Styela clava: one gene and its partner. The protein of the gene in region 1 purifies or fractionates together with the protein of each later gene. This does not show direct contact. Links are inferred from orthologs where the notes say so. Each region holds a gene or a part of one and is shown on either strand. Other genes may lie near its edges.

Region 1 (8,097 bases):
TTTGAATGTTCAAAATGTTGAAATTTTGAAAAAAAAAAATTATTTGGAAATATTACAGAGAAATAGGTGCTGTTTAGGCTGGCATAAAATCATAGTTTGAGGGATGTTTCAGAGTTCAAAAATAAAAAATTATACGTTTTTCTCACTTTCTCAAAACAGCTTTTTTAGGTGTCACCCTTTTGTGAGTTTGAAAGCCTTTAACATTGTCCAGAGTATTCACCCAGGATTATCCAACCAAAACTCAATATAAATATTTTTTAAAAACACCAGCCATTCATAATTTTGGTTCCCATTAGATACCAGATGTTGTGCTAATTTCCTACACTTAAAATAAACCAATAGCAACCAATTGGATTTAACGATCAATCTATATTACACAATGATTTGGATATTCTATATCCATGGTGATTGCATTGATAAAATAGTGTAATGTTCCAGTCATTACATGTTTATTACTATCAGGATATTCATTGAAATTTGTAAAAAATAAAGATATTTTAAAACTAAGATGCCCAACATTTAAATAAAAATGTCCCTGATCTTATTTATCATGTAAATAGCGTTAATATTCATATTTTTTTTTACAACGTTAATTCTAATTCTAAATAGGGATTTAGGAGATATGTCCAAATCCAAACTGATTATTTGTGAGTCATACAAATATTTGAAAAGAAAATGCAAATAAATTTAATCACCTGGTCATTCGTTGAACCATCATCATATTCTAACAACTCTTCCCTCATTTTTGCGGCATCTTTTGCTGAAGTTTTGTGCTTTTTCTGTAACAATATGTATATGATAAAATAAAGGTTGGAATATATTGGCTGCTGTAATCTGGGATTGCTTCTATAGAGCAGACCGTCTAAACATCAATTATCACACCTTTGCATCAAACATAATCTCAAGATAATAACACAAATATACTTTATTATATTTGTTTGAACTTAATTTCTTGGATTCTTTATTTCAGAAGAATTCATGTACATAATTTATCCATCGATATTGGATGAAATATTCTGTAACAAATTATCAGAATGAAACAGAAAAACTATACAGTACGCTCTTTTTAAACAAAACCGTCAAAATACAAACAGCATGCTAAAGAACACCTTGAAAAATTGGGGATTCGTTGGTAATTTTATTTTATATTGTTTTATTTGTCATTGATACTTTATTACTCAATATATTGAGTTGTGTGATGTTATTTCATCAAAAATCAAAAAAAGTATCATTTGAGAATTATTTAATGAAAGTACAACCAAAAATACAACAAGAGAATAAAATATTTATCGACTATGTCCACTTATGCTATCCATACACTATAATTACTAACCTATCTTCGAAACTGACAAAAAAGAAAATAATATGTATATCAGTGCATGACTGCCATGCTGGGCTCCAACAAACATCAATAATTCAGAAAATCAGTTTTAGGATTTTGACAAATAAAGCATCACACTTTCTCAAAATGCTTATTTTCAGCTAACAAGTCAGGAAGTAGATGGCATTATGAAAAATATTGTTAAATACTTAGGGTTGCCTTTATTGAGCTGCAATATAAATAAAAAATGAATCAGCGTGTGTGTGTGCGTGCGTGTGATGAATCTTGGAAGGGATTAGTACCCACACATTGGTCAGAAAAACTGGTTTAAAATATGCAAACCAATAGCACCCACCAATTGAGATTCCAAATTTGTATATTCTGTTTGATAACTTTTCACACGGCTCATTAGTTTTCCTCTTTCAGCACTGGGCATATCTCGAACTTCTAAATCCATTTGTTCCAACTGGCAAAAAATAATATTGACTTTGAGACAATTGACAAAAACAAAACACTTTCTTAAAAGTATTCCGAAGAATTCAATATTTCTTACATCGAATTAAAAAATCAAATAGACGTTGGCAGTCCGCGAGGGAATGAACTCATATGGTGATTATTAAAACCACAAAAGCAAAAATGACAATTGGGACAGATGATTTTGATACGATCCAGCATTACTTTTAAATGAGAATTGATAAAATTTGTCCGAGCAGAATGAGCCTTGATCGAAATGGGGTTAAAGATCACATTTGAAACTTAATTTTAAGCCCTGTATCTTTCCTGCTATTTCTCACATAGATTTGTTGAAAATTAATATGATATCAATCTTTTAAAAGAAATCAATTACATAAGTCATACTTCATTCCTACAGTCTGACAGTAGACCAAAGCTAATCAAGATGCAATCAAAATTCACTTAAATATATCAACATTATTTTTGTAGAAGAGAAACTGTACTTGTTACACTATGCCTCCACGTGCCTAAGTCTGCATCGTAGAAAATGCAAATATTCTTACCAATTCCTGGGCTTCATCAAGTTGTCTTTCTATTGAGCTTATCACAGTCTTTTTGTCAACTGAAATGAATAATGAGGGCAAAAATATAATTCAGGAAATGAATTATTCTACTTTATTCAGTCCTAAACTTTAACGATATTAGACTACAGTTGCATAGAAAATAATAGGCATCGCAAAAACGACTAACTTCGGATATCTTGCAACTTTGAAACACAAATGAAATTTTCAATCGTTTATATCATGGCTAAATTGTGTCGTATTGTGCTTCTGGCAGATTCTATGGTATCTCTGAATCTGTTATCTTATTCAATCGCACAGTCTTATTTACTTTTTGACTAAAAAGATCACATTTTAGCAAAAAAATGACACATCGTTTTCGTTCGACCAGAATCGTGACTTCTACCAAAGCTAAAAACCCAATACAGCATTATTTGATAGCGCTGGTAAATATTATATCACATACCCCCATATAATGAAGATACAGAGCCCAATCTTCTTGTTATTTCAGCAGTTAATGATGAAAACTGTTGCTCATACGATTCAAAAATCGCAGCCATGTTGGATGTCCGCTTGCTTCACAACAGCACAATGCAGCTGACGGAAACAGCAATGTACAGATGTAAGAAATGTATCACGGTATCTGTACCGGTTGTTACCTTGTTTCAGTATTCTGGTATTTGACTTTCAAGTTGCAATAAAATGAATATGGTAACATAAGCCTAATTTCAAACGCCTAAATACCAAACATGTTGTAACATTATTCATAATAAAAGTACAAGAGAGCTATGCTCAAATATATGGACACGTAGAGTCACATAATTTCGATGACGTCATAGCGAAAAAAGAAGTAATAGACTTCTGGAGAAAATTTTTATCTTTAACCACTAAAAATTTCAAAGCAATTGGTCCAGTATTCGAAGAGAAAAGCGACTTTTTAAAAACGTGTCAAGCGGTACTGAGTTAGCAGTCAGGCAGCATCTTACCTGTACACTGTAGGCCATATACGGTAATTGATCACAGAACAGTTGTTCCCTTGCAAATTTTATGTTGTTTACACTTTAGGACAGATAATTGATCACAGAACAATTCTTCCCTTTCAAATTTTATGTTGTTTCCAGTAGACTCTCATCAAAATAAACAAATATAGTAGGCTACAAGTGCTACAACGCTTGCATCACTGCACTGGTAGGACCGTGAAAGAATAAGTTACGGTACGGTAATTTCATTGTGGTAAGACACCGGTACCGGCACCAGTACCAGTACCGAACCTGTAGGTCTGATATTCCGTTCCGCATACGATAGGCTATAAAACTTGCATTGCAGCATTAGTAATACCGCGGAAGGCGGCGGTGTGGCTCAACGGGCTAAGCGTTAGGAATACGCTCGCCACCGCACCTCTAATCACTCTGCGTGGGTTCGCAGGTTCGAATCCCATGCAGGGATGGTTATGTGCGAGAGGATTGCTGGACTCCTCGCCGTCGTTGGGTGGTTCACGTAACCGCTGGTCGGTTACGGCTTCCTCCACCACCAAGTCCATGCTTCCGAAAAACAAACAATACAGTAAAAACTAATCCCATACCCGACTTGGAATCCAGTCTGGATTTCATGGCCTTTTTGAACGAGAAATCGGGCGTGCAATCAGAAATTCCCGCGTGCAAATAAGAATTCCTGGCGTGCAATTATAGCTCACGACGTGCAAAACAACTGCACTCGCGTGCAACTGACTTTGACATCAGATACCTCTCAATACATCCGCGTAAAACTACCGGTATCGGATAAAAAATACGTTGAATCAGAGAAAAAATGGACGTTTGACCTTTGACCCCAAACATTATTCCTACAGTTTGTCGCTAATTTTGAGAGTGTTTGTGCGACTTTGGATACCGGTACTGTTCAGTACATCCGCGTAAAATTATTAGATAAAAAATACGTTGAACCAGAGCAAAATGGATATACTTTGTCATTAATTTTGGTAGTGTTTTTACGTAGAATTAATGGATAAAAAATACGTCAAATTAGAGCAAAATGGACGTTTGACCTTTGACCCCAAACATTATTTTCATACTTTGTCACTAATTTTGGGAGTGTTTGAGCAACTTTAGATACCGGTACTGTTCAGTACATTCGTGTAAAATTATTGTATGAAAAATACGCTGAATCAGAGCCGTACTTGGCCATTGGTGCGGAAGTGATCTTTTCGTCCATAACTATTCGCACGGGATTCCTATTTCCTATCATTCAACACGATATGGACCTTTCCCCGTGCATCGACTTCCTTGTTTACTTCGTGACATTGGCCAATCAGCAAGATGCAAAAAAGGACGTAACAATGAGAGGAATTTTTCGCGGGTCAAAGGTTGGGAAAAGGTCCATGGTCTTTTTGCTTCGCAATATTTCGATCAGACCAAATCTTGCAGGCTGGTATTTGTCGACAATTGTGGAGTTATAATATTTTGGCATCTTTATATTACTGGATTATTGATTTTAAAACCATTTAAACCGATTTACATTGGTGAGCAATTGCAAATTTTCGGCGTGCAAAATTGATTTCGCTCGCGTGCATTTTTGCGGAGCGCTAGCGCCCTCGGGCGTGCACCTGCCATGGAATCCAGTCTGGCTTGGAATGGTAACCGGACGAGAGGCCGTGGTTCGCCATATGGATAAGCCGTCTTATCGGCTTTCCTCTCCCCCGGGATAAATATGTAAATCCTATCCTATCCTATCCTAAGGAATAAGTCAATTTCACTGCGTTACGGCACCGGTATGGCAACTTACCAGTACCGACCTACAGTAGCTGTAGTACTGAGCAAGACAATCGATCGCGAAACCGCTTGAAATAAGTGTAAAACAGTGTTCCCATGAGTAAAAATAAATACCGCGAAATTTTGTATGAAATATCATATCTCATAGGATTCATATAAAATTTAAGAATAAACAAAAGTAATAGCCTTCTAGCGAAAAAATTAATCTTCAACCACTGAAAATTTCAAAGCAATTGGTCCAGTATTCGAAGAGAAAAGCGACTTTTTAAAAACGTGTCAAAGAACAAGAACAAGAACAACAACAAGAACAAGAACAAGAACAACAACAACATAATATTGAAACGATCGTTATGTCCACTACGTGTCCAATAATACAAGTTTATTTCGCCTCCATTATCAGCATAACAATAAAATGATTAAAAATGATTAATAAAAACAAATTACACAGACCCGTTCAGATATGGTATCAGATAAAGAAAAGATATACGACATACGAGCTCAACACTGTTAACCCGTAATTACTTTACTCTATAGTACCACCATGTGACGACGTGAGATTAATTAAACCAGAAGCGAATCATTATATGGGAGGCCCAACGACTAACGGGGAGGCCAGATAAATTTTATTTTCGTCGTGCATTAAATATTAAATGTATAAATATTCTCATTAGAGAGAGCGGGGGAGTTTATTTTGTTTTGTTCATCAAAGTACAAATACACAACAAAAAAATATAAGTCAATTGATAGCAAAAACTTCTCGGTACTCAGACTGGTAAATAAAATGTCAGACCAATGATCAGACTAACTACACACTTGGTCAAGTGTGGTATGAACCGAATTTGATAGCTGCTGGCTCGCAGAACATCGTGGAATTTGAAGTTTTTGAAGAGTCTTGAATCCTTTCTAATCTGTTACTTCGAGTTCGATCCAAAACAATTGGTCGCTTTCTCCTTTGTTGTCTTGGAGGTTAGTTTCATCGCGATTAAAAAATTTGCTGGTGGTATTCGGTTAACTATGTCTTTCATTTCTGAATAATATGATTGAATATCTTAACGTACAACTTGTACTATATTAAATGCGTGTTCTACAGAAGTTATCGATCCACCAGGTTTGTTGTCCGGAAATGAAGAACTTATTTCTCTTCTATCCAAATAATTTTTTACAATATTCCTCGTGTTTTTAGAACCGATCGGAAAAACCCAACGAGCAATAATTTGAATACATGAAGCAAATCGGGCCCATTCTTTTTTGGTAAATTCCCTCGGATGACCAATCTTCTTAGGGTTAAGATTTTTCATCTAGTATGAAGTTGATTTATTGACCCAATGGAGTCATTTTGCGTACGACATCCATTTTCGAGTCTTCTGAATTACTGCTACTTTGTTCAGGAGTTGTTGAAAATCGTGATACGGTACATTTTTGGCGACATTATTAAAGTTGAAAACAATGCTAGAATAGAAATTGACATGAGCATGAATACGTCACATTTTAGTTGATATATGCCAGCTTAAATTTTTTGTCCGAAGTTAAAAACTTCGACGGTATTACGCTGTACTGTTTTATTTTTCCATAGTGGTATTTTGACAATGCTTTTTTTGCGTTGATTATCTATTACATCCCGGACAACAATACTTGTTTCCCATAAACTGGAAACAACTTCCACCGCATACAACCTGTGAAGATGGCCGTTTGCGGCCAGCCTCCACTAGGTGGCAGATAGCGGTTAACAAATCCTCAAAAAATTACACTTGGTTACATTATTAAATAAGGGATAGAATAATTTCGTAACTATTATGGTGATGCTGCAAAACTTCGAAACAACTTCCACCGCAAACAACCTCTGAAGACAACCGCTTGTTGTAAACCCCCACTAGGTGGCAGAGAGTGATTAACAAATCGTCGGGAATTATATTAATAAACAAAGGAAGCTTGACGTCTTGTTGTTATGCATTGTCTCTGGTTTAATAGACTTGATTATTTTTGTACCACTGTTTCAACACTCCTGTACGATACCGCACCTTACTTGGTTACAGTACGGTATGGATGGGAAGAAAGTGAAGGTATTTCTCAATCTCTGTGTTTGCGATAATGAAGAAGATGCCGACCTCAAAATCAGGGTTGAAAATGCACGGCAAGAATTTCTCCGTTGTTTACCAAGTATAATAAATCTAACTTTGGTAACTGAAAGTGTTGAAGAAATTGTACAAAGATGTATCCAACTATATTCATGTCTTTCACAGAAATTGGTAGCACAAAGAAAATATAAAGATGGTGCAAACTGTCTAGCCATAGAATTTGAAGCAACTTTACAAATATGCTCTGTAACTCTAACTTTGATGGATTATAATGTTTCACCCAGAGCTAGTCTTACATTATTGATAAAGCATTTTAAAGGTTCAGCATTGGATTGTCTAAAGTTTTTAAAAAAGCTCTCAATTAACGCAACATTCAAAATACTGAGTGAGTACTCACAAATTATTATCACTTCCATAATGCAGATGGTGATATGGAACACAGATTCTTCAATATGGTCCAAAATCGACGAATGTAAAACATTCTTGCCTTCATTTAAGGATCTTAAGAATGCTATGGAGGAACTTTCTCAACAAAATATAATGAAAAAGTTTAAAAATAACTCTAAAAAATGTGAAATTTCAGAAAGTGAATTGAAAAAGGATCTCGACATAAAGTCTTCCAGTGTTTCAGATACAAAGCACATACAGGAATCTAAACCTAAAAAATGGAAACCAATTCTTATGGCGGCATTTCTGGAGACATATAATTACGCATATGTGCTATTGAAAGATTTGTGTGATATGCTATGTATCACCGATTTTCTTCAAGATATGTGGAACACATTCAACCACGCTTTCACTAACCATTGTTATGAAATTCTGTACGGAAGAAAATTAGACCAATTATTGCTGTGCATTATCTATGCAGTTTGTAAAGCCTTGCCCACTGTCCAACCACTCGAATTCAAGATTATTTTTCAGTG
Region 2 (7,783 bases), on another chromosome or scaffold:
TCCATCTTTCAGCTTTTCCCTCCCTTGGGATAAATATGAAAATATTATCATGAATTGCCAATGAAATGTGATGCAAAGTGAAGTTTTTTTTATTTTGTGAGTATTATTGAAATATTTATTGGTTATCTTGGTTAGCTCGAAGAAAAAAGGTGCCAGACGACATACTCTTATGACAAGTTATCAGTTTTTCTAGTTACAAGACTAGGTGGAAGTAGCTAATTGTTGTGGATGCATTGACCGAATGGTGGAAGAAAAAATTATGCGAACCATGGTCATTTTATGAGGTGTTTTCATACCTTCTCTTCGAAGGCCAGTGACTACGTAATTAGATACTGATTTTGATGGATTGGAGCCTTTCAGTCCATTGCTAACCTGCAACATAGGCATCGTACAACATAATTATCTACCATTTTTGATGAATTGAAATCTTTCCAGTCGATTCCATTGCTAATCCAATTACAACACGGGTAGCGAAGTCAGCTTCTGAGATTGAACCAGAAATTTTTGACCTGTGACACCAACATAGCTTAGGCCGACCACTCTCACTACTCAGAAATGCGATACATAAGAAAAATAATATGTCACTTTCAGCTATTTAATTTCACATTATAATTTTCTCTCCATTTCAGGGTTCCTAATTTTGTCAAAGAAAAACGTTTTGCAAACTGGCTTCGGGATGCTCATGACTGGGCCGTTTCTCGTAATAGATATTGGGGTACTCCAATACCATTGTGGGTCAGCGAGGATTTCGAAGAAATCGTTTGCATCGGGTCCATAGAGGAATTGGAACAATTATCTGGGGTCAAAGTCACTGATCTTCATAGAGAAAGGTATTTTAGAGTAATGATGTTTTTATTTTGTCGTATGTCAACGAGTCGTGAGTTGAACATAATTAATTAATATGGCAAGGCATTCTTAATGCTTCTATTGGACAGGGATTGCATATTTTATGCAACAGAAAAATCAGTATTCTCAGAAGAATCACCTCTTTTAATAGGTGGTTTCAGAAGCCATTGCAGGCGAATCTCCGATTTTGAATTTGAAACTTCGGTTCTGAAATGGCTATGCCCCCTGCATTTAGCATATTAACATTTATCTGTGTCATAATTTACTTATAATTTAGTTCAAGCTTTTGAAATCTTGCTTCTTTTGTTAATCATTATCTGATCTTCATCATTCGTTTATAATTATTTGACAAGTTCAACATTATGTATATACATGAAAATTCACAAATTTTTTGCTTTTTAGAGAGCCTTTATTTTTTTTAGCGGATAATCCTTTTGTTTCTGTTTTTAACTACTGTCAATCTTCTGTTTCTTATTGTCTGTCAATTTTCCAACTTCATGCTTTGCTATTTCTCTTTAGTGTTGATGGCATCACTATACCATCACGCCTTGGAAAAGGAGTTTTACGTCGTATATCCGAAGTATTTGATTGCTGGTTTGAAAGTGGATCTATGCCTTATGCTCAAATGCATTATCCATTTGAGGTATGCTATTATTTTTCCTCAATGCCTTAAAGTTCTGTTTCCTCAATGCCTTAAGATTCTGTCCTGGAACTTGATTCACTGGACTGGGCAAGGAAAAGCTTAATAATATATGCATGCATTTAATAAATACAACATATGAGGTGGGTATTTTCGAATACCTGATGATTTCTGAATTGAATCAAAAAATTTTACTCAATCTAATCGAATCTCGAATACTTGGAAAAGGGTAACTGTATGTATTAACTTTTTTATCGCCATATGTCCTTCATACACATAAATTACTGAAAACATAGAATCTATTACTTAGACAAATTGCTGAGTTGTCACCCACAATAAGAAACAGATTTTATCAATATCTCACTAGTAGAAAAAATGTCATACGACAAGATTGCATTTTAAGAATATGGTTGCAATAAAAAAATGGAAAGATTCTTGACCTTGAACGGAAGACTAGAAAAAAGATGGCGATCATTCGAAAGTTTGATCTGAACCATTTAAAAAAAATTATTGTTCAAATATTTGATTCAAAATGCTCAGTCATATTCACAAGTCAAGCAATTGCGTAAATTTCATTTCAATTGTTTCAAGTTTTTGGTTTCTTATGTCTCAATCTATGATGCATTCCAACTGCCAAGACTTTCTTGATTTGGAATTTAGCATGGATTATACCTTAATTTTTGTTTCCTTTTAGGCCTATTATTATTGCTTCACTATTAACCTGCATTGGAATCATTGTTAGTGGTCTGGTCACACAGCAATGAGAGTTATCCAAATTTCCCAAGCATAAAAAATATTCTATGGCAAACCAGTTGTGGTAATTATTCATAATTTTTATGTCTTTAGAACAAGAAAGAATTTGAAGACAGTTTTCCAGCTCATTTCATTGCTGAAGGAATTGATCAAACAAGAGGATGGTTTTATACCTTGCTGGTATTATCCACTGCTTTGTTTGGGAAACCTCCATTTCAAAATCTAATTGTCAATGGACTCGTTCTTGCCAGGTATGGCATCGATATTGTTAATACCATTTTTGATTTATTCATGTTGTTCATAATTCAATGTTGTTAATACTTAATCTCAGCGATGGTCAGAAAATGAGCAAAAGGAAGAAAAACTATCCTGATCCAATCAAAGTTGTACATGCATATGGTGCAGATGCTCTCCGATTATATTTGATCAATTCACCTGTGGTTCGTGCCGAGAATTTGAGATTTCAGGTACTGTATTGCTTGTTTTTTATTTGTTATAAATAGGGAATATTTTTTGCAATATAAATGTTTCTTTTTATTTTTAGGAAAATGGTGTACGAGATATTTTGAAAGATGTTTTTCTACCTTGGTACAATGCATACAGATTTTTTGTGCAGAACGTAATAAGGTAAGTTTTGGACCAATTCAAATTTCAATTTGTAGAAACAAAAATTTCAGTTTATTAAATTTTAATCACTCTTCTGGTTTAATTGGGAATGTGTTAGCATTTCCATCATGTCTTATATTAATGAGAAGCAGCCGTAGTCATTTTAAAGCGATCCTATTTTTATACCTTAATACAACCAAATACTCCAATGTCATATTCACTCCTATTTGTTCAAAATTATAATGCAAATTTCATCCATTGCTTATTTCAATAAAATGAAGTTGCACTTGTTTTAAGGCTTCAAAAGGAAGAAGGCATTGAATTCAAATACAAAGAAGATGATCTTGGAAGTTCAGACAACATAATGGACAAATGGATTCTGTCATCAATACAATCACTTGTACTGTATGTGAAAAAGGAAATGAAAGGTGTGATATCTCAATCGCAGTTGAAACTTTAGCCTATCATCGTATCCATGTAAATTGTGTGTGCAAGCTAAATCTGAATTGCCAATAGTTTGGCCAAAATTCCAAAATTTTCTTTATCAAAATGTTTCAATTTTTTTTATCGAACATATCTCTTCATGATCAAATAAACATGGACTTCTATTGCATATTTGTCAAAACATTTTGAAGTTGAATCCTTAGAGAAAATCATTTGCATAATATTTTAGGATTTTATCTTGAGCATTGCTACTGTATCAACATAAACGAACGAGATTTTAAAATATATTGCAATTGACAACCATGATGTATGCTGTGCAAATGACATTGCATGATAATGAAGCCATGTGGGTCTCATTGTGCAGTGCTACTTTATTTTCATAACACAGCGACTTGCGCTTCTCAATAATTGATTTTCATTAAGACTATCTTATTTGGTGAATTGGATATTTTACTTTGCAGCATACCACTTGTATACTGTCGTTCCTCGATTGGTCAAATTTGTGGATTTATTGACAAACTGGTACGTCAGATCAAACAGGAAAAGATTGAAGGTTTTTATATTTGCTTGTTTTAGTTAAATTTGTGGATGTCCATGATATTTATTGGGAATATGTGTGTTTAAATTTTAGTTAAACACGTTTATCTCTATTTTATGCACTGTAATTGAATAAGTTTTATAACGTTATTGGAAGATAACATTGTGCCTCAATAAAATAGCATTTTTTGCATTCTAATATTGTAGTTTTACTATTACAGAGAATTATTTTACTTTTAAAATAGGTTGTCGATTTTTAATAAAATCTGAGATTTTGTTGAAGGTTTAATCAACATATATCTATTTTAATACGCCATTACTACTCACACCGCTTATTCTGGTATACTACAGCATGTTTACCCTAATGGGTGCAGTGATAAATCACTATTTGTTTGTCTAGATTTTCAATCTTATATGCTTTTACGTCTGGAATTAAATTTCATTTTGATTTATTCGATTTATCAAAAGAAGGGTGACATTTAATATTAAGAAAATCCAATTTTTTGGATAGCAATGCCAATAAAAATCCTAATATTACTATTTACTCTGTATAAAACACTCCAAATTCTCAAAGTAACCTTTGATAATATTATCAGATAAGTAAACATTGTAGGAAATAACCAGAATGGATTACAAATAGAACCTTGTTTGAGCTCCAGGTGAATTTCATTGCCAAACTTCAAAAACAAGTAGTTTTCTGTGATAGAATATGTTTACCTATGACTAGGTCGCCTTTTATGGAAATTCTTTTATCAGTTTTGGATGATGCAACTTTGAATCAGCGAATGTAACTTATATTATTAACGTATATATTATTATAAATACATATTTTAAAGTGTGTTGACTATAAAATGGCTTTTAAAATGGAAATTTTTCTTGAGTTTATTTCTTAATCAATGTTACATGGGGCTTATGGCTACTTCCACCATCAATTCCATTTTTTCAAAAACAAAATATCTGGCTAACAAATCCCATACCTGACATGGACTGGTAACCGGACGAGAGGTAAACCTTTTTGTCGTTCTTCTCTCCCTGGTATAAATATGAAATCCTATCCTTATTACAATTCTTTTTCTATGCTTTTTTATTCTCTATTTAAATGATAAACAATCCTTTTTATATTGATTTGAAGTTGTCTAATTAACTTTTTATATTATTATAGAGCTTCTTCTAATCTTGTTTATATAATATCAGGTCAAAGAGCAAGTTATAGCTGACAATTCACTTGACTCTTTGAATGTTTCAGGGTGACGGTGGACCTGAAGATTGTCAAAAAGCATTGCAAACACTTTATAGTGTTCTGTACACAATGATTAGAGAAATGGTAAGTTTTTATGATTCCAAAACTCTATCTTTAATCAAAATGCAGATCAGCTGCCATTTTACTATAAATGATTTTTTTTATGTGTTTTATTGCAAGGCACGGCTTCGGGGGGGGGGCTTGGGTGGCCTATTTGGGTGGGTGGCCTTGGATTTTAGCGAGTGAATATGTACTAGTTGTTAATGACTTTACTTCCTTGTTTGGAGCAAAAGGCTTGTAAATAAGCCGCACAAAAAATGTCACATGATAACAAAAATACATCTATTATGCAGTCTGTAATCCTTTTTTTTTCAGAGTCCATTTACTCCGTTCCTTACTGAGCATATGTATCAAAATCTCAAGAAAGTTTTGAAATCTAAAGAAAATGCTGAAAGTATCCATTATTTGATGTTCCCAGATGCGAAGTAAGATATTCAAGAACTTAATTTACTCTTTTCATAAACCATTGGAGAAATTGTGATTCATCAATTGTGACCACTGTATATGGTTGCCTTATTTTCACTCTAGGAATTTCCATCATGATCCTTCTTCATACAATCTCATTTTAATACAACCAAATAGACAACAACATAGAAATTACTGATTTGTATTGTTAATTATAGCCAGCGATAACTGAAATTATATTCATTTTGTTTCTGACTATTCATAAATTTCCACGAAACGCAGGCAATCATAGATAATGCAAATACAGTAATCCAAATATTCTTTAGAATTACTGATATGCTTTATCTATGTTATAAGACCAGCGTTTATAGTTTTATATATTCATTGTAAATTATTTATATTTTATTTTCTCAATTTTAGTGAGAAACTGATTAATGTGGAAATTGAGAGAGCAGTTTCAAGGATGCAAACTGTTATTGAATTAGGAAGAATAATCAGAGATAGAAATACAATGCCAATCAAGGTATTAACTGATTTCGACTGCATACGATTCTTCGTTCTTTTGTCATTCTGAAGGAAAAACTATGAAGATTCAGTCCTTTTTCAGACGGCCATTTAAAATAATCATTCTCTGTTAACAAATCAAACTTGGTTTTAAATTTTGTCGTCGTCAACTGCAGGCAAACATTTCATTTCACATGTCACTGCAAGTTTGTGCAAATAGTCTTATTTTGTATTGTTATTTTTCTGTAAGCATGTTACTGATGCCAGCCTCAATGGTATACACAACCTGCAGCCTGCTGGCCGATTGTGGCCCACAAGAAAAAATTGTGTGGCCCGCGGATAAATTTTTGATTTGGTTTAATCTGGTGCATGCGAGGGATTCCAATCCCTTTGTGTTGCAAAGCCTATACTCTAGTCTACTCTAATTTATTATCTATGCATTATTCTCCACTACTATTATCTTACTCATTATTATCTAATTTACTGTCTGCGTCATAATGTCCTAACAGCTAGCTTGTGCGAAGTGAACAACGCATGTCATAGGATCAATAACCAAAATTTTTGTGCAAGCAACTACTAGAAAGCCTATATAAAGGTGCGACCCGTGCTTTCATCCAGTCAAGTCAAGTCAAGCTATGCTAATAGTTTATTGTTTGTTAGGCATGATTTAACTGCAGATCTCTTTCCAGTACAATTATTTTCATGTTAGCTTATATGAAATTTAATTTCTTACAGTACCCTTTGCCTGAGGTTGTCATCATCCACAAAAGCAAAGAATATCTGGATGATGTTGCTAGTTTGGAGCGATATGTTTCCGAGGAATTGAATGTACGCAAGATCACGACTTCTTCCGATAAAGACAAATATGAAGTTAGTCTTCGCGCACAACCTGATCACATGATTCTCGGGAAACGTTTGAAAGGTAATTTCCCATTTTTTTTGTTAATTTTGAAATCAAATTTTCATAAAGCCTGCTACTAAATGTTGCATTTTTACATTAATCCTCTTCTAATCACAAACTGAGAATACCAAACAATCTGGTTTCTAACAAAAATCTTAATCCAGTGGTTCGCAACCTTTTTTAAAACTCCTCCTGGAATTTTGGAACTTATTATTCCTTCTTCGTTATCTATTGCTTCTTTTGTTTAATCTTTAATAGATACTTTACTAAAGTTATTCACAAGTAGCACTCCTGTTTTTGCACAGCTTAAAGAGTTATTGCGTCATTGACAGTTAACAATGTGCATCACTTCAAAGTATTATATAGGCAATATAGCATAACCAAATGAATAATACATCTATTCGTAGCTCTATTCATTAGTTGCTTACCATATTTTTGTCAATGATCATTCTAATTCAGTTTAGGGCTCTCGACGTACTCAACTAGCAAAGTTGTTTAATATACACATTTTACAGGTGAATTCAAACAAGTATCGGCAGAAATAGCTAAATTATCAAGTCAGCAAGTTGAAGACTATTTGCAGAAAGGATCTATCGAGGTCAGTTTAACTATTTGTTTTCTCATTTTATCTTTCACAAGAAATGATAGCTAAATTCTAATTTTTTTCTTATATTTTTCAGATTGGTGGCCATCAACTTGGTGAGGGAGATCTCAGAATTATTTATCATTTCGAATCGGCCTCAGGAGACGCTCCATCGAAGTATGATTAATGATTATTTTCGATTCTCTTCTTTTACTTATATAAACTTTGATTACAAATTATAGTAAACAATGGGGACAGACTGCG

The links.
Region 2: the proteins of vesicle transport through interaction with t-SNAREs homolog 1A-like (region 1) and vesicle-associated membrane protein 4-like purify together in Homo sapiens (affinity purification with mass spectrometry; 4 studies listed by BioGRID and IntAct, counting the BioPlex papers as one, with this or other methods). This does not show direct contact. The link is inferred for Styela clava from reciprocal best matches to the Homo sapiens genes VTI1A and VAMP4.

Annotation. Positions count from the first base shown.
Region 1 is NC_135260.1:9,561,123-9,569,219, forward strand, and holds the start of vesicle transport through interaction with t-SNAREs homolog 1A-like, read right to left. Parts: upstream 3,100-8,097; 5' UTR 2,895-3,099; coding exon 2,801-2,894; intron 2,397-2,800; coding exon 2,338-2,396; intron 1,788-2,337; coding exon 1,677-1,787; intron 780-1,676; coding exon 696-779; intron 1-695. UniProt on the Homo sapiens protein: V-SNARE that mediates vesicle transport pathways through interactions with t-SNAREs on the target membrane. These interactions are proposed to mediate aspects of the specificity of vesicle trafficking and to promote fusion of the lipid bilayers.
Region 2 is NC_135258.1:11,720,045-11,727,827, reverse strand, and holds the start of vesicle-associated membrane protein 4-like, read right to left. Parts: upstream 3,044-7,783; 5' UTR 3,032-3,043; intron 2,867-3,031; coding exon of another isoform or gene 2,784-2,866; intron 2,707-2,783; coding exon of another isoform or gene 2,571-2,706; intron 2,491-2,570; coding exon of another isoform or gene 2,333-2,490; intron 1,490-2,332; coding exon of another isoform or gene 1,366-1,489; intron 831-1,365; coding exon of another isoform or gene 630-830; intron 1-629. Other genes in the region: isoleucine--tRNA ligase, cytoplasmic-like, read left to right, coding at 630-830, 1,366-1,489, 2,333-2,490, 2,571-2,706, 2,784-2,866, 3,143-3,273, 3,751-3,842, 5,073-5,150 and 5 more. UniProt on the Homo sapiens protein: Involved in the pathway that functions to remove an inhibitor (probably synaptotagmin-4) of calcium-triggered exocytosis during the maturation of secretory granules.